4 linked regions of the Diceros bicornis minor genome follow. The protein of the gene in region 2 purifies or fractionates together with the protein of the main gene of each other region. This does not show direct contact. Links are inferred from orthologs where the notes say so. Each region holds a gene or a part of one and is shown on either strand. Other genes may lie near its edges.

What was found.
Region 1: the proteins of NAPA (region 2) and STX5 purify together in Homo sapiens (affinity purification with mass spectrometry; 3 studies listed by BioGRID and IntAct, with this or other methods). This does not show direct contact. The link is inferred for Diceros bicornis minor from reciprocal best matches to the Homo sapiens genes NAPA and STX5.
Region 3: the proteins of NAPA (region 2) and VTI1A purify together in Homo sapiens (affinity purification with mass spectrometry; 3 studies listed by BioGRID and IntAct, with this or other methods). This does not show direct contact. The link is inferred for Diceros bicornis minor from reciprocal best matches to the Homo sapiens genes NAPA and VTI1A.
Region 4: the proteins of NAPA (region 2) and VPS45 purify together in Homo sapiens (affinity purification with mass spectrometry; 3 studies listed by BioGRID and IntAct, with this or other methods). This does not show direct contact. The link is inferred for Diceros bicornis minor from reciprocal best matches to the Homo sapiens genes NAPA and VPS45.

The regions. Positions count from the first base shown.
Region 1 is NC_080770.1:10,319,086-10,326,916, reverse strand, and holds the start of STX5 (syntaxin-5), read right to left. Parts: upstream 3,010-7,831; 5' UTR 2,899-3,009; intron 2,217-2,898; 5' UTR 2,198-2,216; coding exon 1,973-2,197; intron 946-1,972; coding exon 875-945; intron 710-874; coding exon 654-709; intron 536-653; coding exon 465-535; intron 1-464. Other genes in the region: TEX54 (testis-expressed protein 54), read right to left, coding at 3,343-3,542, 3,658-3,730; WDR74 (WD repeat-containing protein 74), read right to left, coding at 3,931-4,110, 4,434-4,490, 4,575-4,720, 5,070-5,125, 5,213-5,313, 6,186-6,287, 6,425-6,571, 6,701-6,776. UniProt on the Homo sapiens protein: Mediates endoplasmic reticulum to Golgi transport.
Region 2 is NC_080773.1:22,906,887-22,913,765, reverse strand, and holds the start of NAPA (alpha-soluble NSF attachment protein), read left to right. Parts: upstream 1-3,874; 5' UTR 3,875-4,003; coding exon 4,004-4,101; intron 4,102-6,879. UniProt on the Homo sapiens protein: Required for vesicular transport between the endoplasmic reticulum and the Golgi apparatus. Together with GNA12 promotes CDH5 localization to plasma membrane.
Region 3 is NC_080745.1:76,031,936-76,039,920, reverse strand, and holds the start of VTI1A (vesicle transport through interaction with t-SNAREs homolog 1A), read right to left. Parts: upstream 3,014-7,985; 5' UTR 2,640-3,013; coding exon 2,546-2,639; intron 1-2,545. Other genes in the region: palmitoyltransferase ZDHHC6, read left to right, coding at 4,727-4,993, 6,845-6,936. UniProt on the Homo sapiens protein: V-SNARE that mediates vesicle transport pathways through interactions with t-SNAREs on the target membrane. These interactions are proposed to mediate aspects of the specificity of vesicle trafficking and to promote fusion of the lipid bilayers.
Region 4 is NC_080743.1:54,580,140-54,587,287, reverse strand, and holds the start of VPS45 (vacuolar protein sorting-associated protein 45), read right to left. Parts: upstream 3,009-7,148; 5' UTR 2,946-3,008; coding exon 2,853-2,945; intron 2,205-2,852; coding exon 2,070-2,204; intron 1-2,069. UniProt on the Homo sapiens protein: May play a role in vesicle-mediated protein trafficking from the Golgi stack through the trans-Golgi network.

The sequences.
Region 1 (7,831 bases), on a different chromosome or scaffold from region 2:
GACTGGCCCTGAGCTAACATCTGTGCCCATCACCCTCCACTTTATGTGGGACACTGCCACAGCATGGCCTGACAAGTATGCGCGCCCTGGATCTGAACCCAGGCCACCAGCCCCGGAGCTCGAGCACTTAAGCGCTACACCACAGGGCCGGCCCCTCATTCATCTTTTTATAAGATCTTTTCTGTACTACTTGCCTCCTACTCATAAATATGAATTTATGGGGCTACATACCTCTTCTAGATAATAAGCCCTTGAAGACAGGAATCTTGCTTCATGTTTGTGAGGCAAGTGCCCAGCACACTGCTTTGTATACAGTAGATAATCAATAAGTGTCTACTAACTCAATGGATGAGCAGGATGTTTGGGGCTGGCTCTAGAAACTTGCTCTGGGCCTCCATGGCAATGGAAAATGATGGAAGCAATTTGACTGGAACACTGGGCTCTCCCAATAGCTAGCAGCTCACCTGTTTGATGATATAAGTTAGCTCCTCGATTTCCACTGCTTTATCATCAAAGAGGGACTTGCGCTTTGCCACTGCAGAGACAAACAGAAAGCCACAACAGGTGACGTCAAAGACAAGGCTTAGGGTATACAGTTCCTCAGCCCTCTTTGGTTCACTGGCCCATCTCTGAAAGACCCCAAGAACACTTACAGATTGTCAGCTTCTCCAGCTTGGCAAATGTGTTGCTGAGGTCTTTCCCAATGCGCCTGCAAATGAGCATGTGTGAGAACACTGTGGGAAAGGGCAGGAGAGGGCCTATTCCCACACTAGCTCCAGCACCACCAATCCCCGCCCTCACAGCCAAGGCCACCACAGGCAAGCCTGCTTCTCAGACACTGTATCACCCCAGCACATAACTTCTCTCAACTCACTTGGCCATGAGGGTGAATTCACTGCGCTGCCGGACAGCATGCAGAGCTGGCTTGTTTGTCTGGATTCCATTCTGAAAAGCAATGTCAAGTGGTGAGACTTTAGTCCCCCCTCTCCATTTCCAGCTGTTCCTCACCGTTCCTAAGGTGTCCACTAAACTCTCTCTCTAGTACTAGTGGTGTCCTCCACCAGACAGTCTAGACAGGTAAACCCCAGTTCAAATCTTGACTTCACCATTCACCAGCTGGGGGATTTGGGGCAAGTTACTTAAACCATTCTGTTAAATCATTCTACTTAAACTATTTAAGTTACTTAAACCACTCTCTATTTCCTTTTCTGTAAAATGAAGACAATCCACATGCTTCCTGTTGTTGTTGCTAAGAGTAAATGACATAAGGGCTGTAAAGCATTTTAGCCAAATACTGGTACGTTGTAAGCACTAAATAAATGGTAGCTAGTATTACCATTCTACCCCTTGAATCAGGATAACTGGAAAGCTCTTGGAGATCATATAGAACAGCAGTTGTTAACAAGAGCTGATCAGTAAAAGTACTTAAAAATGGTCACTCAGGTCCCACTTAGATTCAGAAAGTCTGGACTGAGACAAGGGAATCTAATTTTTTAAAAAGCACTCCAAAATGATTTTGATAAAAACTACTTATCTAGAGGACTTCATTTTACAGATATAAAAACTGAGGCCCAACTACGCTAACTTCCCTGTGGTCACACAGAAAACTTGTGGTAGAACTATATTCAAGAGAACTAGAATTCAAGGTGCATGTCTGTGAGCTAAAGGCTCTTTCTAGAACCTGTTCCTTATCCAAACCAAGTACATTGCAGCCACCTCTCACCCTGGGCTATTCCTTCCAGAATAGCAACCCTAGCCTCCGGGGGATTCCTCCCCAAAACAGTCTAGATCCTGCCTCTAGATAGCTAGCCCACCTCTTCTCTGTTGCTTAGCAGATCCTACCGCCTCCTCCAAGGCTGATCAGTTTTCCATCAGGTTCCCCCAAGAATGACTTCGATCAACAGTGCTGGAGCACAGCCTCTCCCAGATTTGAGTAAGGCTCACTCCTGCCTTCCCCACTCCAGGTCCTTACCTGACGGCTCTGCAGGGACTTGCAGGCGGACAGGAACTCCTGGGTCCGATCTCGGCAGGACATGGTGTCGGGAGGGGGAGGGGCCAGGGCCACTGGGGGGGGCAGAGGGGCGATGTCGCTGCTGCTACTGCCAGCAGTTGCAGGGGACAGGACCTGTGTCTTTGAGAGACCCAGGTAGACACCCTGATCCGTGTTCTTAGACCCGTAGCGTTTCCGCGGGATCATTGAGACGCATAACCTCGGACTGTTGTGGAGGGGAGAGTGTCATTCCCCACGCAGCCTCCTTCCCCACAAATTACCCCCCCACACCCCCCAACCAGCAAATCCTCGGGCCCTTTCTCTCTTGGCACGGACTTTCGCGCCCAAAGCCACCCGCAGATCCTGGGGCCGGCCCGCAGCGGGCAGGGCCCCGCTTCCTCTCCGGCCTCAGCCGTCCCCCTCCTCGACTCTTCTAACTCGGCTCTGGCTGCCAGAGCGCAGGCTGGGGTCCTGAAGCGGAGCCAGAGCCAGGTCCCGTGGCCCCGAAGCTCCAGGCCGGCCTGTGCAACTGCCCCAGGCCCTAACTGGGCCCTCACGTATCCACGGGTTCCTTCGACTCCTCAGGTAGAAACGGTGACGGACCTTCTGAGGGGCACACACTTCGGTGGGCGGAGGGGGGAACCTCTAGGTGTTTATTTGAAACAGGAAGTCCCACCCCCGCCCAAGTCCCGCCTTCTAGAGGACTGCAGCCGCTGATTAGCTAATGCCGACGTCTTTCTCAAGAGGGCCTTTCCTGATTGGACGGCGAAGTGTTCGCTCACCCCGAGCCGGGCCGGCAGGACTTGCTCGCTTGGCCCTGGTTCCCTTCCCCCCGTCTGTCGCCGCCCCCAGAAAGCCGCTGCCCGGAGCTGACACGGCGGCCAGACCCCTCTCAGAGCCAGTCCTACCTCCTCTCTGCCGCCTGCCGCCGCCGCCACTGCCACGATCTCCCGGGACGTCACCGCCTCCTCCCCGGGAGCCGAAGCCGCGGAAACCAGACCGAAGACAGGAAGCCGCCACGTCACCCAGACGTAGCCCCTCCCCCGGTGACGAGAGGGCGCTGCCACGCCTATTCGAGGCCGGCGACCCGAGGGACACGCCCTCCACCCAAATACAAGAGCGACCCCGCCCTCCCATTGGCTAGCCCCCCCGTGACCCCGCCCCCAAGGAACCAGAGCCGGGGGCCCGGGGGCTGGGCCAGCCTCCGGGGAGGAGCCTTAAAGAGCCCGCAGCCCCAGCGGTGCACGCGACCAGTGCGCCCCGAGTCGGTAGCGGGGCACTAGGGCTCTGGCAGGTACACGTTAGAAACTTTATTCTCTGGAAGCTGGGGCGGACTGAGAGCAAGGCTGGGGTCACCCCTTCTCCGGCTCCTCCTGGATCTCCTGGACCGCACACCCATGCTTTTGATTCTGGGTTATCCTCTTGTTTGACGGCATAGAGCCCCGACGGCTGAACATGGATAGCCGCCGCCACACCACAGTGATCAGAAGGCTTTCGTTAGACTTGCGATTCCGGTGGTGGTCCGGCGAGTGCACATCGACCCTTTCGCTGCCTGCGGGTATGACGAGGCCGCTAAGTTCTGCTCTACCCGCCCCCCGTCGAACCTCCTGGGCAGTCCTGTTGGCACAGCCCCCTTTCCCACTTTCTGGGCCCTTCCCTCATCCAACCTTCCTCCAATTCCACAGATTCCTTGGCCTGCTCATCGGAGGTGTACGAGTCCTTGTCTTGGCAACAGCCCATGGCCCCGCACGGCCCCTCCAGCGGCCCCACACTACGTGCCACCCACGCCAGCCTTCGTGACTCCCGCCCGGCTTTGTGACGTCAGATATCCCGCAGCCGCAGGTCTGGGAGCGGCCACCCCTCCTTCCTTCCTCCCGTCACAAAAGGCTCAGGGTCATAGTGGTGTTGAGCTTTTTATTTACAAAGTGAGCACAGGCCCTTCAGGGGCTAGTGGACCCACGCCGCTTCTTCTTTCTCCGTCTGGTTTGGAGTGCCCTTTGGGTCTGCTCCAAATCAGGGAGCTTCCGCTTGGCAGCTGCCTCCAAGGAGGCCCAAAGTTCATCTGTCTCTGTGTCTTCTGGGGGCACCTTGTTGGGTTCTTGAGGCTCTTGGGGCTCATCCTGGTGAGTGGGAGAAAAGCTTAGGAGTCAGGGGCACAGTAAGAGACTCACAGGGAAGGAGGCTCTAGCTGGGAAATCATCTCTCCAGGTACCACCCCTTTTATTTCCTGCTCCCGGAAACCATTCCCATCCATGCTCCTTTGTCACCCTTGGCAGTAACCCTGTCAGGACTATAACTATTAACACCCCTCAGAGAAATTAAGTAACTCAGCAGGTAGATGGACAGTTCCAGGTCTGTGTTCCAGCTGCTTCCTTTTTCTCTCCACAAGGAAATTCTCACATCTATGCCCTTGGGCCCCACATTCTCAGACCGAACTGCTTACCTCCCAGTTATCCCTGCCTGACAGGAGGAGGCAGTTCAGTTGAGACTTGAGATAAACCTGCAAAAGATGTGGGGCCTTAAGGAGCCAAGCATGCTGAAATAGAAACATGAAAGGAGGGAACAGGAAGCAGCAGGCTCTCACCTTATGCTCCAGGCCCCGTGGGTTCCGGATCCTGTGTACTCTCAACACTCTGTCCAAGCCACAGGAGGCAAGTAGGGGCTTTGAGGGGTGGCACTGCAACCCTCGGACACTGCCCGCCAGCCCCTTCAGACAGCCCACTAGGCGCCCTGGAGAAGAGGGGAGATATCACCGCTAGCTGACCAGCCAACAACCATTTATTGAGTGTTTACTGTTCAATCACTTTATGTTTCAATATTTAATCCTCAACATAATGCTGAGATAGGAGTTACCATTAGTATCTCCATTTATATCTCATTTTATGGGTGAAGGAACTACTAAGGCACAGGGAGATGAAGTAATTTGTCCAAGGTCATACATCTTTTGGTGAAGCCAAGATTTGAACCCAGGCAATCTGCACCTGAATGAGACCTCAACCGCTCCACTGCACCCCCTCAGAGGGAATCCTTTCCTTCCTCCCACCCTTTCCCCTCCCCCAAGGCTCCCTAGTCCACTCACCTTGCCGAAGGTCAATTTCTGCCAGCTGTCCATGAGTGTTCCCCACGATCACCGAACTGAGGAGGAGAGCAGAGGCAGGTGGGGTCAGCAGGAGCTTCCTGGAGTCCTTCCTGAGCCCCACTCTTCACCCTCTAAACACTCACTTGCCCCCAGGAGTGAGGGTCATGGCTGTCAGTGGGTACTCTCCATAGGTGGCTTCCAGGACTGGTCGGCGCTGGGGGGAAGCTGGATCATAGACACGGACCTGGAGGAAGACTGAGGCATCACAAGAGTACCCTCACCCCACATAGCCTACTCTGGCTTCTCCACATCTTCGCCCCCTCCTTCAGACACTGCTTTCTTGTTATGACCCACTTAGAGAAACTTTCTCATTTGAAATGTACCCCTCTTCTCAGAGTGCTGTGGTTGGGGGAGAGCTGCTTAGGGGCATGAATGGACAGGGCTGAGGGGAGAGGTTCCCTAGGTTGGGAGGTGGCAGCATTCCCATCATCTGCATGTGTGAGCATTCCATTCCCCCCATACTCCCATCTTGCGATGAAAATGCAAGTCAGGCCTATTTTCAGAGGGTGCTGAATTTCAAGGAGAGAAGTTAAGCCTCAACAGGGCAAAAAAGTGACCCTGTCCTGCCTGGGTCTTAGGACTTCAAATGAGACCAACTGTAAAGATCCCCAGTTGGGCCCTTCCTGTGAAGTTGAGAAGCTGAGACCAGAGAGGAGAGCATCAGGCCTGGGTCCCAAAGCAAATCAGAAGCTACATCAGGACAAAAACGGTTCTCTTGACATCCATTCCAATGTCCTCTCATGACACCTGCACTGTGTGCTTCTACTGTGAAGAGAACACTCCCTTCTTCTCTCCCCTCTTCCAGGTGGGAGGAAAGGGAACAGTCATAGTTCAGGAAACTCCATCTTAGAATGCAGTATACGAGAAGGTCACTGGCTCAGCCACAGGGCTGGAATGGACAGGGGAGTGCTCCCTCCTCTGAGAGGTCAGGGATGGAAGAAGGATGGTGAGAAGGGTGGCTGTGCCAAACGACGGGGGCTGAACCTGCACAGGGAGGCTATTTCTCTAGGAGGCTGCATAAGCCCAGGAGGAGATAGGGATGGGATAGTGCCTCACCTGGTGGTACCCTGTGCAGGTGACAAGCTTCTGTGACGCAGGGAGGAACTGTATGTCCTGGTCCCAGATGGGAACCCGCAGGTCGAGCCAGTCATTCCGTACCTGGGGTAGATGGGGGCAGAGTTGTGGGGTGCTCAGTGTGCCCCTTCCTTCAGCCCTCCATTACCATGCCCTAAAGCCCACTTGGTTTCTGACTCATAGTCAGTGGCCTCAGCCCACTCCCTAACCCCATCACTCACGTTCTTGGCCCTGAACACAGGCTCCTCAGACCCCTGTAGGTCCCACACCTTCAAAGCATTCTCCTTCCCACCTGTGGCAACCACGTGGGGGTGTGCTGGGTCTTGGCGCATCCTACACACCCCAGGGCCCACTCTCAGTTCCAGGAGCTGAAAAGAATGGAAGATGAGAGTCAGTTCCAGAGTCCTTAATCCTCCTCCCCCAAAGCCCTCATTTGGCTCCGACCCTGGTCCCCCCTGCCTTCCCCAACCATCAGGATCAGGGCAGGGGAGCCTCACTGGGTCAGAGGATGCCTCTTTGTCATTGTCATGCCAGACTCGAAGAATACCAGAATCCACACATGTGATGACGGTGCTGCAGGCAGAGAGGATAGAATTAGGTAAAAAAAAAAAAAAAAAATTTTTAAGTGTTCTCTTGGCTCCAGTCGACCCACCCCCAAATTCATATTAACTAGACTCCCTCCTACTGGCCTTGTTCCTAAGGAAGACTCTAGGTGACATGGTCTGGACAGGGCTTGACAGCTCCCACGTTCTCTGTCTGTTATCTCATGTAACTTCCTCAACAGGGTGATGGTTTACCAGTTTTATAAGTGAGGAAACTGAAGCTCTGAGAAATTAAAAAATTTGCCCACTCAGCTATAAATGCCAGAACCAGGGCTGGAAATCAAGTATGTGATATTGAAGAGCAGAGTGCCTTTGCTATTTCACAGCTACATCTGGTGGCCCTGGCCCTGCTGGTCTTTTTTTTTTCTTTTTTTGTGAGGAAGATTAGCCCTGAGCTAACATCTGATGCTAATCCTCCTCTTTTTTGCTGAGGAAGACTGGCCCTGGCCTAACATCCGTGCCCATCTTCCTCTACTTTATATGGGATGCCGCCACAGCATGGCTTGACAAGCGGTGCGTCGGTGCACACCTGGGATCCCAACCTGCGAACCCCAGGCCGCCAAAGCGGAGTGTGCGAACTTAACTGCTGCGCCACTGGGCCGGCCTGCTGCCAGTCTTTCTGAATCTTGAGTTGGTCATGACAGGTCAGGATCAGTAGCTCTGAAAGGACTGAAATGGGACTGGTCTGGATTTAGGCTCTGGCCCAAGTTAAATACCAGCTTCTTCTCTCGAGTTCCCTATTCTGGGTTCCAGATACTAAATGTCAATCTCTCCCTCAAAGTACCTCTCCCTTGAGCCCAAGCAAGTCTCTCCCCGGGATGGGTATGCCTGAGCCTATGCTCCTTCTCACATCTGCCGACCCTCCCCACCTTGGTTCAGCCTTGGTATTGCTTGCCTGGGCTGTGGCAAGTCACCCACTGCTCTCTCTCAATCCATCCTCCACAATCCTACAGGCTCACACCTCTGACCACAGCACTTCCCACTCAAAATCCAATAACGACCCACCACCTATAAAACAAAAGTGCA
Region 2 (6,879 bases):
TGAGGAGGGAGATGGCCACAGCTACCCTAGACATTCAAGATTTGCCTCCACAGGGCTGGCCCAGTGGCATAGTGGTTAAGTTCGCACGCTCCGCTTCGGCAGCCTGGGGTTCACAGGTTCGGATCCCAGGCGCAGACCTATGCACCGCTCATCAAGCCATGCTGTGGCGGTGCCCCGTATACAAAGTAGAGGAAGATGGGCACAGATGTTAGCTCAGGGACCATCCTCCTCAAGCAAAAAGAGGAGGATTGGCAACGGATGTTAGCTCAGGACCAATCTTCCCCACCAAAAAAATAAATAAAAATAAAAAGAGGAACCCTGATGAAATAAAAATATTAAAAAAAAAGATTTGTCTTCAGGACTAGGAAAAAGCCATGTGCTCCCTCAAGTTTGATGCCACCTGGTCAAAACTGTCATTCCGTTTGCCAGGAAGAGAAGAGGAGGCAGGAATGGCTCCTGGGGAGGCAGACCTTGTGACTGCCACAACGTGATGTGAAGAAAGTAAAGCAGGGCGCCGAGTCCCAGGGAGTGAGCAGAGAGTGGCAGCTGGTGTTAGGTGGACGGCCAGGGAAGGAGATCTGGGTTCCAGGCCACGGCACGGCACAGTGCCAGCTCTGCCGAGGGGACTAGCAGAGGGTGTTAGAGAACTGGCTGGCTGCTGTGTGGAGGTTGTAGGAGGCAAGATTACTGGCCTGGAGGGTAGATAGAAGGCTTTAAGGTAAGGTGCTGGTGGCCTGGGGTAGCAATGAAGAGGGACGGAAATGCGAGGATGAGAGATGCATCTTAGAAGCAGACTCGGACTTGTTGACGGGTCACACGTCACGGGGAGAGGTGGTAAGGAAAAGGACGGGTCAAGGTTGGCCTGGTAGATTTGGGTCTGAGCCGCTGAGTAGATGCCATCACCTCAGGTGGGGAAGAGAGACAGTCAGAGGATTGGTTGCACCCAGGTGTGACCGCGTCTGTAATAGTGCATGCTGTGTTCTGACAGACTGGCGGGGGAGCGGGGAGAGGGTAGTGTCAGGAGCTTTCACAGAGGGGCCACACTTAGCTCAGTAAATCTTGAAGATCGGGAGGGGGGAGGGGCAGGGGAGGAAGCAGAGTTTGAAGCAGTTGGGGCATTGCGGTTAAGAGAAAGGGCTCAGGCATCAGATGAACCAGAATTTACATTCTGGTGCCTCTTCCTTCTTTGTGACCTTGGGCAAGTCACTTTCCCTGTTTGAGCTTCAGTTTTCTCCTTCTGTAAAATGGGGTGGAAAATGCTCACCCCCCACGTATCTGTGGAATGAGAAAACGTAAATTACGTGTTTGGCAGGGTGCACCATATGAATGTAGCAGCTACTGTGTGATGAGCGCTCATGCTATCGCTGTTATTGTTTAGGTCCCACCCTGCATAACAGGTTAAGCTTGATGACTCTGGAAAGGAAAGACTCTGGCTTAAAGGGTTCAGCGGTATATTAGTTTATTGCCGCATAACAAATTACCCTGAAATTTAACAGCTTAAAACAAACAGAAGCTTTTATAATAGTGCTGCTTAGAGGGACACGGAACTGAAACTGCTTGTGGTGATCCAGACTCACCCCCAACCTGATCTGTGGTCGGAATACAGTGGCAACCACAAGTGGGTGGTCCAGGAGAGTCTCTGAATGTAAGAAGAGAGTTGGGGGAAGGTTTCTTGTGAATTACCCCCCCTCAGCCCGCCCCCGCTCCCATCCCCAGATACAGCGTTTTCTCAACTGGTGTTCCCGGAATTATCTGCATCCTAGTCATCTGGGGGTCCTGTTAAAAAAAGCTCATATACCATACCCAGTCCCTGACACGGACTATTATAATCAGAATCATTGAGGGTAGGGCCCTAGAACTGGAAGTTTTTTAAAGAAGCTTTCTTAGAATAGTTTTCAGATTTACAGAAAAATTGGGAAGATGATAGAATTCCCATATACCCTGCACCCAGTTTCCCCTACTATTAACATCTTACATTAGTATGGTACATTTGTTACAACTAATGAACCAATATTGATACATTATTATTAACTAAAGTCCATGTTTTATTAACATTTCCTTAGTTTTTACCTAATGCCCCTCTTCTGTTCCAGGATCCCACCTAGGACACCATATTACATTTGGTAGTGATGTCTCCTTAGGCTCCTCTTGGCTGTGACAGTTCCTCAGACTTTACCTGTTTTGGATGACTTTTAAGGAGTCCTGGTCAGATATCTTGAAGAATGTGTCTCGTGTGGGATTTGTCTGATATTTTTCCCATGATTAAGCTGGGAGGAAGACCGCAGAGGTGAAGTGCCCTTTTCACCACATGTTGTTGAGGGTTCACACTATCAACGTGACTCACCACGCTGACATTATCCTCAGTCAAGGGCTGACAGTGTTCATCAGGTTTCTTCACCGTAAACTTGGTCCCCACCCCCCTCCCTTCCCATACTGTACTGGGTGGAAGGAAATCACTGTGCACAGGCCACACTTAGCACACATGAAGAGCTATGCTCCACCTTTTTTGTGTGTGTGTGAGGAAGATCAGCCCTGAGCTAACATCCATGCCAATCCTCCTCTTTTTCTTGAGGAAGACCTGCCCTGAGCAACATCTATTGCCAATCCTCCTCCTTTTTCTCCCCAAGGCCCCAGTAGATAGTTGTACGTCATAGTTGCACATCCTTCTAGTTGCTGTATGTGGGACGCGGCCTCAGCATGGCTGGAGAAGCGGTGCGTAGGTGCGCACCCGGGATCCGAACCCCGGGCTGCCAGTAGCAGAGCACGCGCACTTAACCGCTAAGCCACGGGGCGGGGCAGGCCCAGCTCCACCTTCTTGAAGGTGTATTTACATAAACTATTTGGAATTCTTCTGCACAGAATATTTGTGTATTCTCTCTCATTTATTTATTCATTTATATCAGCATGGGCTCATGGGTATTTTATACACTGGGTTATAATCCAATACTACTTTATTTTGTTGGTCAAATTGTTCCAGCTTTGGCCATTGGGAGCTCTTTCAGTTGGCTCCTGTGTCTCTCTGACATACCTCGTCGTGTGTGTGTGAGAGTGAGAGAGCGCTCACACGCGACGCTTTCTTTCTGGCGCTACAAGATGCTCCAGGCTCATCTTGTGTAATTTCCTGCCCAGTCCTAGAACCAGCCATTTATCCAAGGAGCCCTGGTTCCTTTTATTGGAGAAGGGTATTAAAAACTAAGATGTGGGCACTAGGCATGCTCAAACCTGAATTTTTAACAGGCTCTCTCCAGCTATTTTTTCATGAAACCACAGTTGGAGAACCTCCGCTCTCCGTTTTGTTCCCGTCTCTCAAGTATTTCACTGGCTTTCCCAAGCCAGTTTCAGCCTCCGCCGGCAGAGGGCGCCAGAAAAGGCAGAACGGTTTCCTTCCTACCACAGAGGCCTTCCCAAGAGAAGAAGGACGCGCGACCAGGAGCCGGGGCGGGGACTAAACGCTGCGCCAGAGAACTGTCAAACCCAGGCGGGGCGTGTTTCCCGGCAGGGGCCGGGCACTGTCACGTGAGGGCCAGCGGTCAGCTGACTAGATCCCAAGTTCTCCGCAGAGGTACGACGCGACCCAGGGCTGCTGTTGATTGGTGGAGGAGGATCCAGAAAACTAGCACTTCGGGGCGGGACCTTGACGATGGGGACTACCATTGGCTTATGCAGAGCCACGTGGGCAGTCGTACGCTGCACCGGGAAGAGAGTGGGGCGCCCTATGCGGACGTGTGCGCATGCGTCAAAGCCCGGGGTCGCCGATTGGAGGCCGTGAGTCACGGGGCGGCGTGCAGTGGCCGGTGGGGGCGGGGCCGGCGGGGCGCGCGCCGAGCTGCGAGGCCGCTGGTTGGCCAGCGCGAGCCACGTGGTCCGGGGCAGCTGGGGGTGCGCGGCGGTGCGACGTCAACGCAGCCCTGTGAGCTCCCCCGACCCGTCTCTGCGACCCGGCGACGGCGGAGTCCTCGGAGGGCCGTGCCCGGGCGGGTTGCTGAGCACTCCTGCGGCCGCCATGGACAACTCCGGGAAGGAGGCGGAGGCGATGGCGCTGCTGGCCGAGGCGGAGCGCAAAGTGAAGAACTCGCAGTCCTTCTTCTCGGGCCTCTTCGGGTGAGAGCCGCGCGGAGGGGCGGCCGGGAGCGAGGCTGAGAGGACGAAGGAGTCGTGGCCTAGAGGCGGCCGGGTCGGGACGAGGGCATGCCGGGGCCTGGTGACAGGGTCTAAGGCCGCGGAGGGGACGCAGGCTGAGGGCCGGGCTGTGGCGACACGGTGTGAGGAGAGACGGTCTGGGATGGCGGAAGGGCCTTGGGCTGAGGATACCCGGGCCGAGGCGACACCATCTTGGGACGGAAAGGGGACCCAGGCTGAAGACGGGCCAAGGGGCCAGAGGACTGTGAGGCCTGGGCGGGGACCCGGCCTGAGGGCTTGAGGGAGCCTAGGGGAGCAGCCGGGTCGCCTTTGGAGCTCTGGAGAGCCTGTCTGAAGGGTCCCAGACGGCCGTGGTGGGGCCGGGGACTGGGGACACCTGCCCCAGGGATCGGCCTTCCCAAGGCCTGGGGCGGGGGGTTTGGGTGAACTCGGGGTGGTTGGGTGAGGGGATCCTGGGGGGTGGGAGGTGCCCGGGACGAGTGGGGCCCTGGGTGGTGGTGATGGTGTAAGAGGACCTGACAGTCGTGTGAGAGCTGAGCAGAAGAATGAATCCCCCGGGGTGACGGAGTTACTACCGAGGAGGCCCGGGCTACGGGGCTGGAGACTGATGTGGAGTAGGGGGATGAGTGAAGCCGGCTTGGTTTAGGAAATGGAGAGAGAAAGAGGAGAGATGAGGGAGAGGGAAAGCCAAAGGAGTGGAAAGCTTTTTGTGTAAGGATGGAGTAGGGATGGGGCGTGTGCGCGGGATGACTGGTGTGCTGAGAGGGGGGCCTGAGCGGGGCTGGGAGACAGAACGAGCGCCTGCAGTCTGGTAGACATTTCCCATCAGACTCACATTAGCCTGTAAACTAGTTCTGATGACCGTCCTCCGAGGAATTTTAGTGGCTTAGGAGTGTCAGAAGCCTGGGTTTGAAGTGTGGCTCTGTCACTGACTTCATGCCCTTGGGTAAGTTGTTTGATTTCCCTGTTAAAGGGGATCACTAGTAAAACCTATGTCAGGTATTTGCTGCTAGTATTGAGTAAGAGTGCACATAAAGCGCTTAGAACTGAGCCTGGCACATGGTTAACGCCCTGAGAGTCTTAGCTGTCATCAGCGTCGCTTCCAGGAAGGCAGCGGGTGTGGAGCCTGTACGCTTCTGGTGGGGATCAGGGTGGGAGCCCAGGGGGATGTCTGAGAGGGGTCAGAGGAGGGAGAGACTGAGTGGGAGGAGGAAGGGGGAGCTGACAGGTTGTGGGAAAGGGACTCTGGGCCATGGGGACTTAGCAGAGTTGGGGGAAGGGGCTTGAGGCTCGGGGCGGAGGGAGAAGAGGGGAAGAAGGGAGGACTGGAGGGGGTTGTGTTGCTTTGGGGCTGGGAGGAGAACTGGAGAGGGAGTGGTGGGTCTGTAGAGAGTTAGGAAGAACTGTGGTGGAGGTGGGCAGGGAGTCTGGCGACAGAGAGAGGCAGAGACTGGGGAAGGCTGCGGCCTGGGAGAATCTGCCAGAAGGCTAGGGAAGGGGTCTGGGAGGAGGGCCTGAGGATACGGAGAGACAGTGTTAGGAGATTGGTGAGAAATGAAGAAGGTTCTTTCCAGGAGAGGAGACGGAGCAGCCTGTTATTTGATGTTGGATGATGTTTAGCAAAAGAACTTGAATAACAAGGCTGAGAGTTATCTGGTCTGGAGAGGCATCCGGGGCTCATGGATTGTATTGATTAGGTGGGGAGTGTTTTATTTTAGAGGCTGAGAGTGGAGAGAGGGTATGTGTGTGTTTCCTCTTCCCTCACAAGGGGAGAAGTTCAAGTGCAGTGTTTTGGGGTGGGGCCGAGAGCTCAGTTTTCCGTGATAGTTTCCCTGGGTGGTTTTTGGTGTCGGGTCCCTTTGGACTGGGAATTAGTGTCCTGTTGGTCAGTGGCTGGAGGGAGCAGCTAAGTCAGCCCGCGAGACACATGCCATCTGGTTGGGAAGGCAAGAGTAACACTTGCCAAACGCTAGTAAAGCAAAATTGTAAGGTAACTAAGGCTTAGATTATATCATGTGTGTGAAGTTCCTGAGTTGAGAGGAAGCGGCCTGAACTGGAGGAAGGCTCTTAGGAGCGAGCTGGGCCCCGAGGAACCCTAAAACTAGCAAGTCCTAGTCCTGTGGAGTGGGGGCCTGGGAGAGAGTGCTCGGCAGCGGGAATTGTGCGAACAGAGGTGTAGCGTGAGGGGAGGTTCTACCCGGAATGATGGGGAACCGAGATCCAGATGGACCAGGGATGGCTCCCCAGAGGAGAGGCCTCCATCTGGGAGCATGAACAGGGGTTCTGGGGGTGCCCTCTGGTGGGGAGCGCTTCTCTGGGCAGAAGGGCCAGCTTGAGCAAGGCCCAGATGCATGAAGCTCAGTGTGTGCACGCTTCACACGGGGAGTTCCGTGTCAGCACGTAGTTAGAACAGGCAGAAGGAGGAGGTGACGCTGAACAGGGATGAGGCCCAGTCTCGAGAAAGGGCTTGCACGTGAGGAGGTGGTAGAGAGCATTGAGGATATTAATGGGGATCTGTCTTAGTCTGTTCAGGCAGCTATAACAAAATACCGTAGACTGGGTGGCTTATAAACAACAGAAGTTTATTTGTCACAGTTTTGGAGGCTGGGACGTGCAAGGTCATGCTGCCGGGTAGATTTGGTGTCTGGTGAGAGCCCACTTCCTCATAGATAGCTGGCTTTTCACTGTGTCCTTGCTTTGTGGAAGAGGTGAACTAGCTCTCTGGGGTCTCTTTTCGTA
Region 3 (7,985 bases), on a different chromosome or scaffold from region 2:
TAGTCCAATTACCAAAATTAATTAAGATTCAAACACTTTAGTCTAAGAGCAGAGTCTTTTTATTGTTTAAACATATCACAGAGTAATCAAATTTCTTTTTTAAAATAAAGTTTTAAAATATTCAATCTTTTCTACTCTCTTTGGAAGTAACAATCTAATACATTGTACACGCACAGCAGAGATTGAAGTGAATTGCAATCAATCCTACCCCCCCTACTTCAATTTAAATAAGTTAATAAGTTGTGCAGTGAACTGCTATGACTTAAAAGTTCGCTCCAATTTTTAACCTTCTTAACTCAATAAAATTACAGTTACCTCCACTGGGTCAACCACTAATGATGTCCAGAGAGAGAGATTATAATTACTTTTAATCAGACTGTTTTTGCCATGGTTGTACACATTAATTCGTTAGTCCACATAACATACAACTGAAATTCATAACTACATGGATATATTTTTCACCTTTTTATATTTATCAATTAGAAACAGATTAAAAGGGAACAAGCACAAGTAATTATTAAGAGAGAAACCACTGCATGTTTAAGAATTACTATGTCAAGACAGTAAGCATTTTTCCAGTGCCAGCTATACAGTCTCCTTTCAACTCTAATGTAGCTGCTATGTTTGGGCCTTACATTATATGTACTTAAGAAGAGTCAAGACTTTATTTTTAAGGTACTTAATTCAAAGGTTTCCTTCTACGTGGTAAGAATGGTTACATTAAAATATAAAGGCAAGGAAAAAGCAATTGTAACAAAATTTGTTTTCTTGGAAATAGTTTTTACAACTTTGCACCCAGGGATGACTCTGTTACTTTATAAAACACCCTCAGACTACAAAAGCTATTAGCCCAAACAAAAAATGTTTCACTGTTAACACTATTACAATTAAAATTGAGCAAAAATCCAACTGAAACCATTAAGTCCTGATATTCTGAGGCTCTGGGACTCAAGTCAAAGGAAGTAGTCTCCAACAACAATGACAACAAAAATCAAGATGATCTTGGGCAGTGGAGAGAAGCAGAACTGAAGAGAAGAGGCGAGGTGATGTATCATGAAGTGATGAGGCCATCAGCCACTTTCTCCACAAAAATCTCTGAGGCAGCAGAGCTCGGTGGTATATGCTACCTTCGTCCTCTCCTCTTGTTCCCTCACTTGGACTCATAAACCTCCTTAAGACAAGATCCACCTCCTCCAGAACTAACTGGGACTTCAGGAGATGAGTGGGGTGTAAGTTCAGAGATCCTGGCTTCAAGCAAATATCCCTATTAATAGAAAATACGTGGGGGGGGGAAAGAAAAACAAAGAAATAAAGGAAGACAATTATTTATAAACACATAAGTTTTGAGGGAAGTAGGGAAAGGCAAAGAGGAATGACAACCTGGTTCAGGAGAAATTATTGCTGGCATCAAGGACTGACCAACAAGGTGGGAAAGAAGTTGCCCACCAGTTCACAGATCAATGAGCATCCTCTTTTCTACATGTTACACTCTAGAGGCAGGTAAGGCCAAGTCTAGCAGTCCCATGATGTTCCAATTTCCCTAACAAAACTAAGCCAAAAAGTAACAATCTTATCTGCAACTAACTACTTAAATTAAATCTGTATTTAGAGAAAGATAAATCCTCAAACGATGTCTTACAAACAAAAATCACAAAATATCATATTTATATTCATCTGTTTATTTACTTAAACATTTTTCTGGGCTCTAAGTAAATGCCAAGAGTTAAGTCAATCCTACCTTCACATAGTTGGCAGTCTAGCATGGGACGTAAGCCGTGCTAAAATACAAAAATAAAAGCACTTCTAGATGGCAGTTGTGGAATTTTAAAAGTGAGAAAAACTGTACCAAGTTTTACATAAAATTGGCCTACAGATTGCCAAGAAGGATGAGAAATAATAAATGGGGTTGAGGGTATGAAAAATACTAATGATAACAGCAGCTAACACCAAGAAAGGGTTTTCCATGTGTTAAATCATTTAATCTTCACAACAACCCTATGAGAGACGTACAATTCTCCCCATTTTACCAAGAAGGAAAGTTGAAAGAGGTTAAGAAACTTGCCTAAGCGCCATAACTCCTAAGTGGCAGAGCTGGGATTTGAATCCAGACACCGTGGCTCTTAACCCTATTTTGCCGCATAAAATAATATTATTACTAATAAAACAACATTGCTGTATACTGCAGACTCATGGTCTAGGTACGTTCATTCATTCTCTTTGAATACTCACATCTGTATATTTTACAAACGAAAACTGAGACTTAGAGAAACGTTCCCAAGGTTATACAGGTAACAAGGCGCTGGAGTCCGGATTCGAGCCCAGATGGCTCAGATTCCGAAGACTCTTTTCACTCACTGCACCCCAAAGGACTCTCCCTTTGGCCTCAACTAAGTAAGCTCCATCCCTCCGGAAGGGCTCCAGCACCGCCCCCGGGCTCCACTCCCGCCTCGCGCCTCAGAGACACTTGTTCAGGCGGCGTTCCACCGCCCCCGAGCCTCCGCTCTCTCCGGGCCACCCCCACACCCCCGGCAGGGCCAGGGCTCACCAGGAGGGAGTCGGGGGACCCTCGCAATCTTGCCGGTGATCTCGGCAGTTAGCACCGCGAAGTCCTGCTCGTAGCCTTCGAAGTCAGACGACATGGTGGCTCCGGAGTGATCGGCCCGGGCCGGAGCCTAGGTCGTGGCAGGGGCCAGGCGGGACAGGAGAACACCGTGGAGGGACCCCGGGGGGCACCCTCGAGAGCAGAACGCAGAACCGGCGACAGCTCCCGGCCCGGCCGCTTCCTGGTTGTTCGTCACAATCTCGGTCCTCTGGAAATCGGGCTGCCGTGCGCTTTTTAATTTCCGCTCAGGCTTCACGATTAAGAAATTCGTTAAGAAAAAGCACTTCGATTAGGGCCCCAAAAGGCCTCCGAAAATATGCGTGTTCTCAGGGATCACTGGAAACAATTTTTTGCTCCTTTAAGTTCTGGAAAGCGGCTCCGGCTCCTCAAGATACAAGTCACAAGAGCTTGCTTCCCGCGGGACGTTTGATGTGGAGAACTTCCCGGAAGTGGCTGTCACGGAGATTGCGCACCGGGCCTGCGCGGGAGAGCAGCGGCGAGGGCGCTGGCGGAGACCGACCGGTCGTGGGCGGCCCGCGCTCCAGCCTCTCGCAACCAGGATTTGCTCTCTGCTTGCGCTGGACTGGGGTACCCATGACGGAGTTATCCGAGGAAGAGAAAACCTGTTCTGGGTGAGCCCAGGCCGCCGGAAATGCGGTGGCAGAGGCGCGGGCACCAATGACCAGTCTGAGGTGGGAGTCGAGGCGGGGGATGTGACCATGATTTTGGCGGTCTTCGGCCGACCCGAGTGAGGCCAGACTCTCCAGATGTTGAGACCAACACCCACATGTTCTCCTGAGTGAGGATCCGAGCGCTCTGCTCCACGGCACGAGCGGGAAACTGAGGCACAAGGCAGTGGGCATCTGTTGCTAGGACGTTTTTATTATCCTCTACCTCAGACCTTGTTCTCTGACTCACCCCAGTCTAGTTAGGAAGACCCTTCTACAGGTTTTGCCGGCGTTCGCTCCGAGAGGCACTTCCTCTTCTTTTTTTCTCCAATGTTCTCATTCGTGGTCGTTCTCGTATACGCCTGCAGTCGTGATTTCACACACACCTCTCTCCCTCCCTCCTCTCCTCGCACTGTCTTTGCTTTCACTCTCCCGCTTCTGTACCCTTGGCCCAAATAGACCCTTATGATGGTGTTTTGGAGGCAAGCGCAGGCAAATGGTATAGACCATGTCTGGATCGTACTTGACTTAATTCGAGATAGGTAAGAGGCAGTTTAGAACTCTGTAAAGGGAGCTCGATGACTTGGTTTCTATTCTGAGGTCTGCTGTTGCTAGTGACCTTGGTCTAATCACTTAGCTCCTCCCGGCCAATTTCTTTTCCATGAAGAAGGAAGCTGGATTAGATGAACTCTAAGGCCTCCTTCCCAGCTCTAAAACTTTGTCTCCTCAAACCATTCATTAAACGTTGGGTAGTCACAGTCCTCTGACAAGTTGGGAACAAAGGAATAAAAAGTATATTTTAGAATCATGTATCCAGTTTACATGCCATTCAGACTTGAACCCTATTTTGGATAAGATGAAAACGTTCTTTTTTTCTTATGAGGAAGATTAGCCCTGAGCTAATATCTGTTGCCAAGCCTCTTCTTTTTGCTGAGGAAGACTGGCCCTGGGCTAACATCTGTGCCCATCTTCCTCTACTTTATATGGGACCCCGCCACAGCATGGCTTGACCATCCGTGGGTCAGTGCTTGCCTGGGATCCGAACCCGGCTGCAGCAGGGGAGCACTCGCACATAACCGCTGGGCCACTGGGCCAGCCTGAAAAACATTCTTTTTGACATTTAAGATACTCATCCCGTAGTAGTGCATTTGTAAGATGCTTTAGTGTAGGTGATTATTGGAGTTGATAAATATAGTATATAATAAAAGGTTTTACTAAACTTTCTTATTTTGTTTTCTTTAGATTGGGTTTCAAACCAAGATACTGGATTCTCCTCTTTAAGATAAAGAGCTCTGAGTGTGTAACAGTACAAATGGCATAATCTGCATTGCCGTTTCACAACTTGAAGGCATGACAGTTAAAGAACACACATGGACTTGTGGCACATGGAAATGTGTGCACAGAAAAAGGAAATCTATAATTCTTTAAAAATAGGAAGGCGTTCTTCCTCACCAAAATGGGTACATTCTGCTCAGTTGTGAAGTTTGAAAATCTCCAAGAATTAAAGAGACTGTGTCACTGGGGACCCATCATAGCCCTTAGTGTTATAGCAATATGTTCTACGATGGCCATGATTGACTCTGTGTTGTGGTATTGGCCCTTACATACAACTGGAGGAAGCGTGAATTTCATCATGTTGATAAATTGGACTGTCATGATTCTTTATAATTACTTCAATGCCATGTTTGTTGGCCCTGGCTTTGTCCCTCTGGGGTGGAAACCGGTAAGAAAAAGATTCCTTAATGTGATGAACTCTAATGATAATCATATATTTAGTTTTTGCCTTATCTGCTAACCAATAATATCAAACACAGCCTGCTCTTTGCCTTGGTAGAGACTAAGCATATTATTCTAATCACATTATTTAAAGCTCAAAGAATTTATTTCATACCAGTTTGAAGATATTGATCTAAATTAGGGTTTCCCCAAGTAATTTCATTGAATACTTCTGCATTTAAAAAAAAAAAAAGAGGGAGCCAGCCTGGTGGCGCAAGCAGTTAAGTGTGCGCGCTCTACTGCGGTGGCCCAGGGTTCGCCGGTTCGAATCCTGGGTGCGCACCAACACACCGCTTTTTAAGCCATGCTGTGGCGGCATCCCATATAAAGTAGAGGAAGATAGGCATGGATGTTAGCCCAGGGCCAGTCTTCCTTAGCAAAAAAAAAAAAAAAAGAGGAGGATTGGCATTGGATGTTAGCTCAGGGCCGGTCCTCCTCACAAAAAAAAAAAAAACAAAAGGAGGGAGGGTGGTGAGTCCATGTTCTTAAGTTTCTAGGAAACACTGCATATCATACACTTTTCATAATATCACAGTGTGGTTTAACTCCAGGATCTTTTTTCATGTAATACATTAACATCCCTCAAAACTGAGAAAAACACTTTAGAAACTGCTGGTTTAAGTCATAAAGTTTTTAAATCATTGTGGTGAAATCATAATATTGGGAAGTATACTATCACTCGATTGATAGTATCAATCAATTTATGGCTTTTTAAAAATTGTTAGAAAGTTTATGCATATGAATTTTCATATTCTTTGCTGAGGGATATCACCTGGTAGTTTGTCAGAAATGCAGAATCTTGGGCTCCACTCCAGAACTACTGAATCAGAATCTGTGTTTAAAAAAATCACCAGGTGATTGTTAGGTACATTACAGTTGGAGGAACACTAGTGTGCTATTTGAAGTGGGTACAGAGGTGGGTAAAATGCAGTTCATGTTCTGAAGAACCTTATAAGTGAGAAGACAAACCAAGGCACTTGTGCAGATAACTATCGAGTAGAATGTGATGGATGCTGTTGAATTTAGAAGAACTGATCGTTTTCAGCTGGAGACCTGAGGGAGGAGCGGAAATTATCCACAGGAGATGGGGAAGAGGGCATTTCAGGTTGAGAGAATGGTGGTAGCATGGATTCAGAAACAATGGACAGCCTAGTTTGGCTGGAAAAGAGATTATATAGTAAAGATAAGGCTGAAACAAAGGCGGATTATGGAAGGCCTCAAATACATGAGAAATTAGACCATAGGGAGTTATTAGAGGTTTTCAAGCACAGCTCTGACGCAATCAGAGTTGTGTTATAGGAATGTTATTCTGACAATAGACGCTTTGGATTAGAGAGGCTACAGTAAAGGAAACTAGTTAGGAAGTAGTTAAAGTGGTCCAAGGGAGGGGCCTGATTTCCAAAAGAGTATCAACTCTGGTGTTTGAGTCCCACTCTAAAATACCTGCCAAGTTGTCAGCTACCTTTTTTTCTGAACTCCTCCCATTCTACTGAGATTTTGGATCTTAGTAGAACCAAGTATGTATACTCAGTGACACTGGATTTGGATGGAGCATGGAGAAGAGAAATTAAAAATGACTTCTGGGTAATTGGAAAAGTGATGCTGCTGTTACCAGAAATTCATTATTTAAAAATATTTTAGCTCAAATAAAACAGCTGCAGATACAAGTTAAGGTTCCATCCTCCCCATCCCCATAAAAGAAAATCAAACCATAGGAAAGTATTTATTCCTAAGGTTTGACTTATTATTACTTAGGGTCAGATATCTGATGTATTTTTGTTTATATTTTGCTGCCAAGGAAAATTCTCAAGATAGCATGTACCTCCAGTATTGTAAAGTCTGCCAAGCGTACAAGGCACCACGGTCACATCACTGCAGGAAGTGTAACAGGTACTGTCTGTCTTTGCTATTCATTGGCGACTGATCCACTTGATTACTGGTCTTTTGATGTTGTTCCTTCTACCACATCAATCCTAGTTTTATTCTCTGCAAGGTGGCTAGTTTATAAAAAATATTGTCAGAATACTTGTGTCCATAATCTCCATTTTACTCTTCAATTATCAATTCTGATAATAAATAAATCTCACTCTTTTTTGTTATAAGTGAAAAGATTCTTCTAGAAAAATACAGATTTACTTTGCTTCTTGCCCTGCCAAGAACAAGTTAAAAAGTTATACCTTCAAGTTGTTTCTATAGATCAGAATTAATTGTGCTTGTCAACTGTCATCTTGACTAGCTTTAGAGTTGTTCTGAGTCTAAATTATAAAACAGACCTGCTTTTTCTGTTATTTAGTTGACTGACACCTACACTTTATACAAATCTAATAAATGAATCCAGGTGCCTATTATCACAAGTGTTTAATGTAAAAAACTTAATGGGAAGAAAACTGAATCACTATAAAAAATGTGAAATAAACTAGAACCTTTTTTTTTTTTTGGTGAGGAAGATTGGCCCTGAGGTAACATCTGTTGCCATTCCTCCTCTTTTTGCTGAGGAAGATTGACCCTGAGCCAACATCTCTGCCCATCTTCCTCTATTTTATATGTGGGATGCCTGCCACAGCATGGCTTTATAAGCAGTGGGTAGGTCCACACACGGGATCCAAACATGCGAACCCCAGGCCGCCGAAGCAGAGTGCACAAACTTAACCACTACGCCACCGGTTCGGCTCCAAGCTAGAACCTTTTTTAATGAACAGCTATATCCACTGATTAATAAGAAATTTATGTTGAAAATGTTGAGGTTTAGGGGAACCCTTAAGACTTTGCTTATTGTACCACATCTTCTATTCTGGAGTTAGCTTGCTTAGCTCACAGATTCCACATCTAAAGGATGAGAACAGGAAGGAAGTTACAAGCGTCTGCTAGGCCCCATCAACCCCAGTGGAGATTTATAAGTGATTTTGTTGAGTCTCTGTTGTACTCCACTTCAGTCACTG
Region 4 (7,148 bases), on a different chromosome or scaffold from region 2:
GCAGCCACTATTTGGCCACAGTATGACAACTGACAGATGGGCGGTGGTATGGTTCGTGTGGTTCGCTGATTGGGAAACAAACCCAGGCCGGGGCAGTGAGAGCACCAAATCTTAACCACCAGACCACCAGGGCTGGCAAGAATTCCACTTGCATAAGATCATAATGCAAGTTTTATCTATTTTTGATCTATAACACATGATTAAATTTCAATATAAATTTGGTCCCCAAACTATACATGATATATCATTTTTTAATGTTTAAAAAAATCATACATTTCCTTACAGAATTAAAAGTAATATAAGCAATACACATTGCTTGTTAAATGAGAAAAAAGTTTTAAAAATTGTCATTTAGATTAAAAAATACATTAAAAATTAACTTCATAATATAATCTTAAGGAAAAATTGTTTTTAAGAACACATTTTGAGTTTGAGAGATTATATATATATATAGCTGTAAAGAGGTTGGCTAATAAAGTGTTAGGAAATGATGGACTAGATGATCTCTAAGATCGCTCTCAGAACCAAAATTTCATGACTAAGAGCTACAAATGTGAAACAATTGGAAACTACTATATTATTAATTAATGTATTCATTAATTCACGAACTATTTATTGAGTATCCATTATATGGCAGGCACTAGGGACATAAGAGTGTGAAAAAGAAGACACCATCTCTGCTCTCATGGAGCTTACTGCTGGTAGGTGAGACAGATACTAATTAATCACACAAACCATATAAAACTTCAACCTTGACAAACAATAGGGAGAGGAAGATGGTGCTGTAAGTGCTTATAAGAGGGGAGTTTGACCTGGCCAGCAAGGCCAGTGAAGATTTGCTTGAGGAAGTGAAGAAGTTCCAGGCAGAGAGAAGAGCCTGTGCAAAGGCCCTGTGGCATGATTTAATACAGTGGACTGAAAGATTAGTGTAGCTAAAAGCAAAAGGGAATGGTTTGAAATGAGGCTGTAGAAATGGCAAGAACTAGACCATACAAGGCCTTGCAGGCCACAATTAAGGAGTTTTGTCTTCATTACAAAAGCAATGAGAATTCATTCAAGGATTTCAAGCGGGGGTGACACGATCAGATTTATATTTTGGAAAGTATATAATGTACAAGCATGGTAAAAGAGTACATTGGGCCGGCCCCGTGGCTTAGCGGTTAAGTGCGTGAGCTCCGCTGCTGGTGGCCCGGGTTCGGATCCCGGGCGCGCACCGACGCACCGCTTCCCTGGCCATGCTGAGGCCGCGTCCCACATACAGCAACTAGAAGGATGTGCAACTATGACATACAACTATCTGCTGGGGCTTTGGGGGAAAAAATAAATAATAAATAAATAAATTTTTAAGAGTACATTGGAGTTGAAGAACAAGACTATAAGGCAAGAGAATATGCAAAATAAGTTTGAAATAATAAAGGAGTTTTAAAGGAGGACTCAGGCTATATTTAGATGATGGATGAAACTGACAGAAGGCTAAAGAACTTGTAATTAGGGGAAGAGAACAAACAGAGGACAGAAATGAGCACGTGGAGGGATGATAAAAAGGTCTAGTTGGCTGTAGTTGAGCAGCAGAGGTACGACATAGGAGGTTGGATACATAAGGGCAGACCAGACCTGCTAAAGGAGGGTTTTGAGGGCTGGGCTACTAAATATAGATTTAGTAATACAAGTAAAATTGAGCCATTATAGGTTCCTGAACATAGATGTGAATAAAATGATAAAGACTTACAACACTGATATAAGTATGCAAGTATATAAGACTAATCGGCAATGGTGTTCAGTGTGATAGGTATGGAGGTTAATCCAGGAATGAAGTGACGTGGGTCTCTGTTAGGGTAGTTAGCGGCTTTGGAAGTAGCTGAGAACCTAAAAGATATCTTGAAGGAAAAACTGGCTGTAAGGAGTGAACTGAAATGTGGAAAGGAGGAGAGTCAAGGTCATAACTCTGATAAACGAGGATAATTATGATGCCACAAATGATGATAATACACATTTATTTTCCCTTAATGCTTTCAGATCATAGTGTTCTGTATTTGCCTGGGCAGATGGCAGCTCAGTTTATGTAGTACCTTCGTAGGTCGAAGAAAACAAATTGCTTTCAGGTGTTTCATGATTTCTCGATTTTGAGAATCAATGCGTTCAAAAAGGTATACTTCCTTCTGAAGAATCTCCGATTGTGTGTATACCATACTCACTATGCCAGTCTGTAAAGAAAAAGAATTAACTAATCTTATGCTAGTCTAGAATAATAAAAACAAGCAGCAATACTTATGACTTAAAAAAAATTTTCATTACTACTTAGCTGGATAACTTAAACACTAACATATGTAATAACACTTACTTAGCATCCGAAACATGTAGGTAACGTACCAGAATGAAAAACATGCTTTCTCTGAACACGGACAATCCATAAATTTCTCCCCAAATTTTTTCCACCATCTTAAAGAGTTTTTTTTTCCAAATTCTGTGACCAACAAATAATAACCTATCATCTCAGCTTGAGCCCCAACAGCTGTACTTTGAAAACACAACGCTGAGTGGAAATAATAGGACCATCCCAAAGTCTTCTATGTGCTCTCTCACATATTATTTCTTGGCAGGGACATTTAGAAAAGGATTTCTGATTTCAATAAATCGTTCCGGGTAGAAGAAGAAATCTCTGGTAGTAGTCAGAACCATTTAGGCTGAAAACCTACTGGGCAAGTTTCATACAACCTTTCAGTTCCACACAGAACTGACCCTCATTAAAAAGCTCTTTAATGAATTACTAAATCCTACAGTGGAATGGGACCAGCTATTGTAAGGGAGGGTGGGTTCCCTCACAAACAAGAACTGAGCAAAAGCAAACTCACCGTCTCTTTATCCATGAGAAGTACTTTCATACCCGGTCCGCTGTCCTCTATCATTTTGGAAATGTACTGCTTCACAGCAAAAACCACATTCATGGTGGCGAATTGACAGCTTAACCCTATAGCCCTTCCCACCCGCTCCCCTCTGGTTACATTAACCCCCGGTCTTTTAGCCCGGTCTCAGCCGCTTCCTCCCCGCCCGGCTTTGGCTTCCGGAAGTCCGGGCGGCCGCGGTGCTGGGAGTTGTAGTTCCGCTGCGCGTGCCGGGGGACCATGCCTCTGGGCGGGATGGCAAAGTCCGGCTGAGACACCCTGGGCCGCCACACCCAGACGCGATTCTCTACCCACCTCCAGCCTGGAGGTGTTGGAGGCCCGGACTCTCAGACCGCTCCCGGCCCTTGGTCCGGGATGCCCCGGCTGGGGCCTGAAGCTCTCCCCAAGCTGCTGGCTTGGGGAGAGCGTGGCGGCTCGCGGTGTGGAGGAACTTGGCGTAAGGCTGGCTCCGAGGCAAGAACCACAGAGCGTGGCCGTGGTCACTCTTTGCCATTAACGCTTTCTCGGGCAGTGAAGGATGAAGGGAAGAGAGGTGGCGTAATGCCCCCGGACACTCGAGACTCGGAGGGACGGCTGTTGGTGAATCACACGCGGTGTCTGCTAAGTAGCGGCGGAGATTCGTTTTCCTCGGCCTCTTTGGGTCCTTGACAAGGCGAGGATAGTGCCCTTGCGAAGTGAGGCCGGAGTTGGTTTTCCGAGGACGGGGGGGGCATGGGAAATTGAACAGATATTTGTTGAATGACTGAACAAAGGGAACGAACGCCCTTTAGAGATGTTTTGGGAGAGGCCTCAGATCCCCAGGAGGGCCTGGAGCTGGGATCGGCCGCCGAGACTCGCAGCGCGCGGGTCCCGCGCAGCCCCAAGCGACCCGGGTTCGGCGTCCTGGGCGATCGGACACCGCGGGCTCCAACTAGCGCGGGCGCTGGGGACCTGCGACGCTGGAACTGCGGGCAGGAGCCGAGTCAACAGGGTCTGAAGTGGGTAGGGAGCACGTATCCGGTGGGGCCAAGGCAAAGTAGCGTGGGGATTTTAAGGGAAAATGCACAAATCTTGATTTAAGAAAGGACAAAAACTTAGCAACAAAATGAATCTTAAAGCCATCAACTTCTAAATGTCTGTATTTGTGTTTATACCCCGCAGGTCTTTCCATCAGGCTCTTTCTCGAAAAGGAGGGTAAATAGTTTTCGCACCTTTACTATGGGGAATTGTAAAATCAGGAACGTAACAAGAAACAACTGCAAGAATTCAGTGACTGTAATTGCTTGTAAATATTTCCACCAAAATAATGACCAGTGTTTGTTGGGGTCAGTTTAATCAGTAAGTTCAACATTACCAAATCAATCATTCTTTCATTATATTGTAAGAAGCATATGATTAAAACTAGACCCAGAGCACGCTAACATTCATCTGGCTCTTAAGATTACTTTATAAAACGTTATATACAATTTTCACATTCTTTAAGGGAGGTCAGAAACCACTTGAAATATAGATTTTTATCATCTTTGAAATTGTGAAAATTATTTTCTCTCTTTTTCAGTTTTACTTCCAAGTAAATAAAACTTCCCATTGGGCATTTTTTCTATTTTTGAGATATGTGTTCAAAGAAAAGTTATGGTGGAATGAAAATGAGAATCTTTAAATGGATTCAAATGAGAAAAATCTAATGTTATATAAAAATTCTATTCTTATCAATTTAAAATGTTCATATATTACAGAAAACAAACCAATGCTAATGAAAAATGAAACACCTGCAAATCTTGTAAGATACCAATATTTGAAAATTCACCTCCACTCTCCTGTGTCGCTTAGTTTTTGTTTTCTTACCTATAATTTGGACTTTTTTTTTTTTTTTTTTGTGAGAAAGATCAGCCCTGAGCTAACATCCATGCCAATCCTCCTCTTTTTCCCGAGGAAGACTGGCCCTAAGCTAACATCCGTGCCCATCTTCCTCCACTTTAGGTGGGACGCTGCCACAGCATGGCCTGACAAGTGGTGCCTCGGTGTGCCCCTGGGATCCAAACCGGGTAGCCAGCAGCTGAGCGAGCTTAACCACTATGCCACTGGGCTGGCCCCTGGACTTTAGTATAAGATTGTTTTCCATTTTATGTATTTTTTAGAAAGAACAAGGAGAGAAAAGCTTGTCCTTGAAATTTGTGCTTTTTTAGACAGTAGTCAATCTGTAAGTAATACATGGAAAGAAACTGCATCCTTTTGATTATTTATACTTGGACAATTATAACAGTTTAAAGGAGGAGGAAAATGCCTGTTTTGACAAGGCTTACTAATATGTTCCATTGCCTGTGAAATTCCATTGATGTCAGTGGCATATACATTGATAAGATGTGGTATGTAAACATTTTGTACAAAATAGTTATTATATATTTAAAGTATGCTGTGATGGTCTGGAAATTTGACAGCCTATTTCCTTTCTGAAGAAAACTACAAAAGCCATTTAAAATGTCTCCAGATTAAGAACTTCTTTCTATCCCCATACCTCTAAAAATAGGACTGAAACTAATGATAAAGTCCAAACTCTTGCTTTGTGACTCATCCATGATAAACTCAGAGTGACTTGTTTTGTTGTAGGCAAGATACAGCAAATTCAGAAGCCAAATGAAGTACCTTACCTATTTTTTTTTATTTAGGGTGTAAATAAACTGTAATAACAAGAATATTTTCAATAATAAAGACTTCAAATTTAAAAAGTAGATCATGACATTCTTCAAATATGAATGATTACATCAATTATAAAATTTTCTGATTAAGTTACTTGAAAAATTTATTTTCACTAGGTCTAAGAAATCTGCTTTTAGGATAGAAAACAGGAAGTTAAAATAATATAGTATTTACATTTGTCCATTTTGTTAAGACTTGTAAATATGTATATAAATGAAATAATCAGTAATGATTACCTGAATAAATACATATGCTTTAGCTTCCTACAAAGTATGTCCTATTTAGAGGTTTAACTACCCATTTTATATTTAATCAAAATCCTGTTTTTCCTCCATAAGAACGCAAAGCTTGATATAAAACAAAGACTGTATAAATAAGCTTCCATATAATTATAATAACAATATGGCCAACTCTTAGTTATCTTAGATTTTTAATTGTCTACTGTTCTCCTTGATGCTATGTGTTAAAATTTGCCCAACAAACCCTGGACAGAACGAAAGTAAAGATGGAATTCAATGAAACTCAAATTAATTAGATTTCCTACTTGTTAGCAATTGAAAAAATATTTGGAGAAAGAATGCAGTATTGCTAGTGTCAGACAACCAGTCCTTGTGCCATGTTCTTAACCTCTCTAACCATTTCCTCATCTGATAAATGGTGATAATATAATCTGCCTTATGAACCTGTGAGAATTAAATGAAATAATGCAGAAAAAAATGTGCCTGGCACATATTAAATGTTCAATAAATATCAGCTTTAATTATTTGAAATCAAAAAGTAGACAGGCCTTTTAGCATATTTTTTGCTTATGATGTATTTAATCCCCTTTGATAAGAAAATTTAAAAATAGAATCAATTTCAGTATTTGTAAACTATAGCTTCCAATATAGTTTCCATAATAACTTTATCTTGCATTACTATACAATAATAGAAATATTAATGGGAAGATTTGGCCTGCTCCATCATAATTTGTAAAGCATACAATTTTCACAAAGACAAAACTTAGGAAAATTATGCTTCAAGTGATTTCAGAGGCTTAGTGTCTACCAGCCTCAAATCAAACAGAATTTGTTAGATTTTTGTCATAGTTGGTGGTTTAGTACTGAATTTTGTGGTAGCAAAAGCACTGACAAGCTTTACATCACTAAGTGAAAATTATTTGCAGGGTCACCCTGTGGCATAGTGGTTAAGTTCAGCACGCTCTGCTCTGGTGGCCCAGGTTCATGGGTTCAGGTTTGGATCCTGGGTGCAGACCTACACCACTCGTCAGCCATGCTGTGGCAGCGACCCACATATAAAGTGGAGGAATATTGGCACAGATGTTAGCTCAGGGCTAATCTTCCTCAAGCAAAAAAAGAGGAGGATTGGCAATAGATGTTAGCTAAGGGCAAATCTTCCTTAGCAAAAAAAAAAAAAAAAAAAAAAATTGCATGGAGGGTTCTATCTGCACATTCAGTAATTTCAGTGATTCCACCTTTTTGGTGGTGATGTTAACTTTGATCACTTGGTTTAGGTGGTGTCTGTTGGTTTCTTCACTGTAAAATTACTATTTGTTTCCTTGTAATTAAT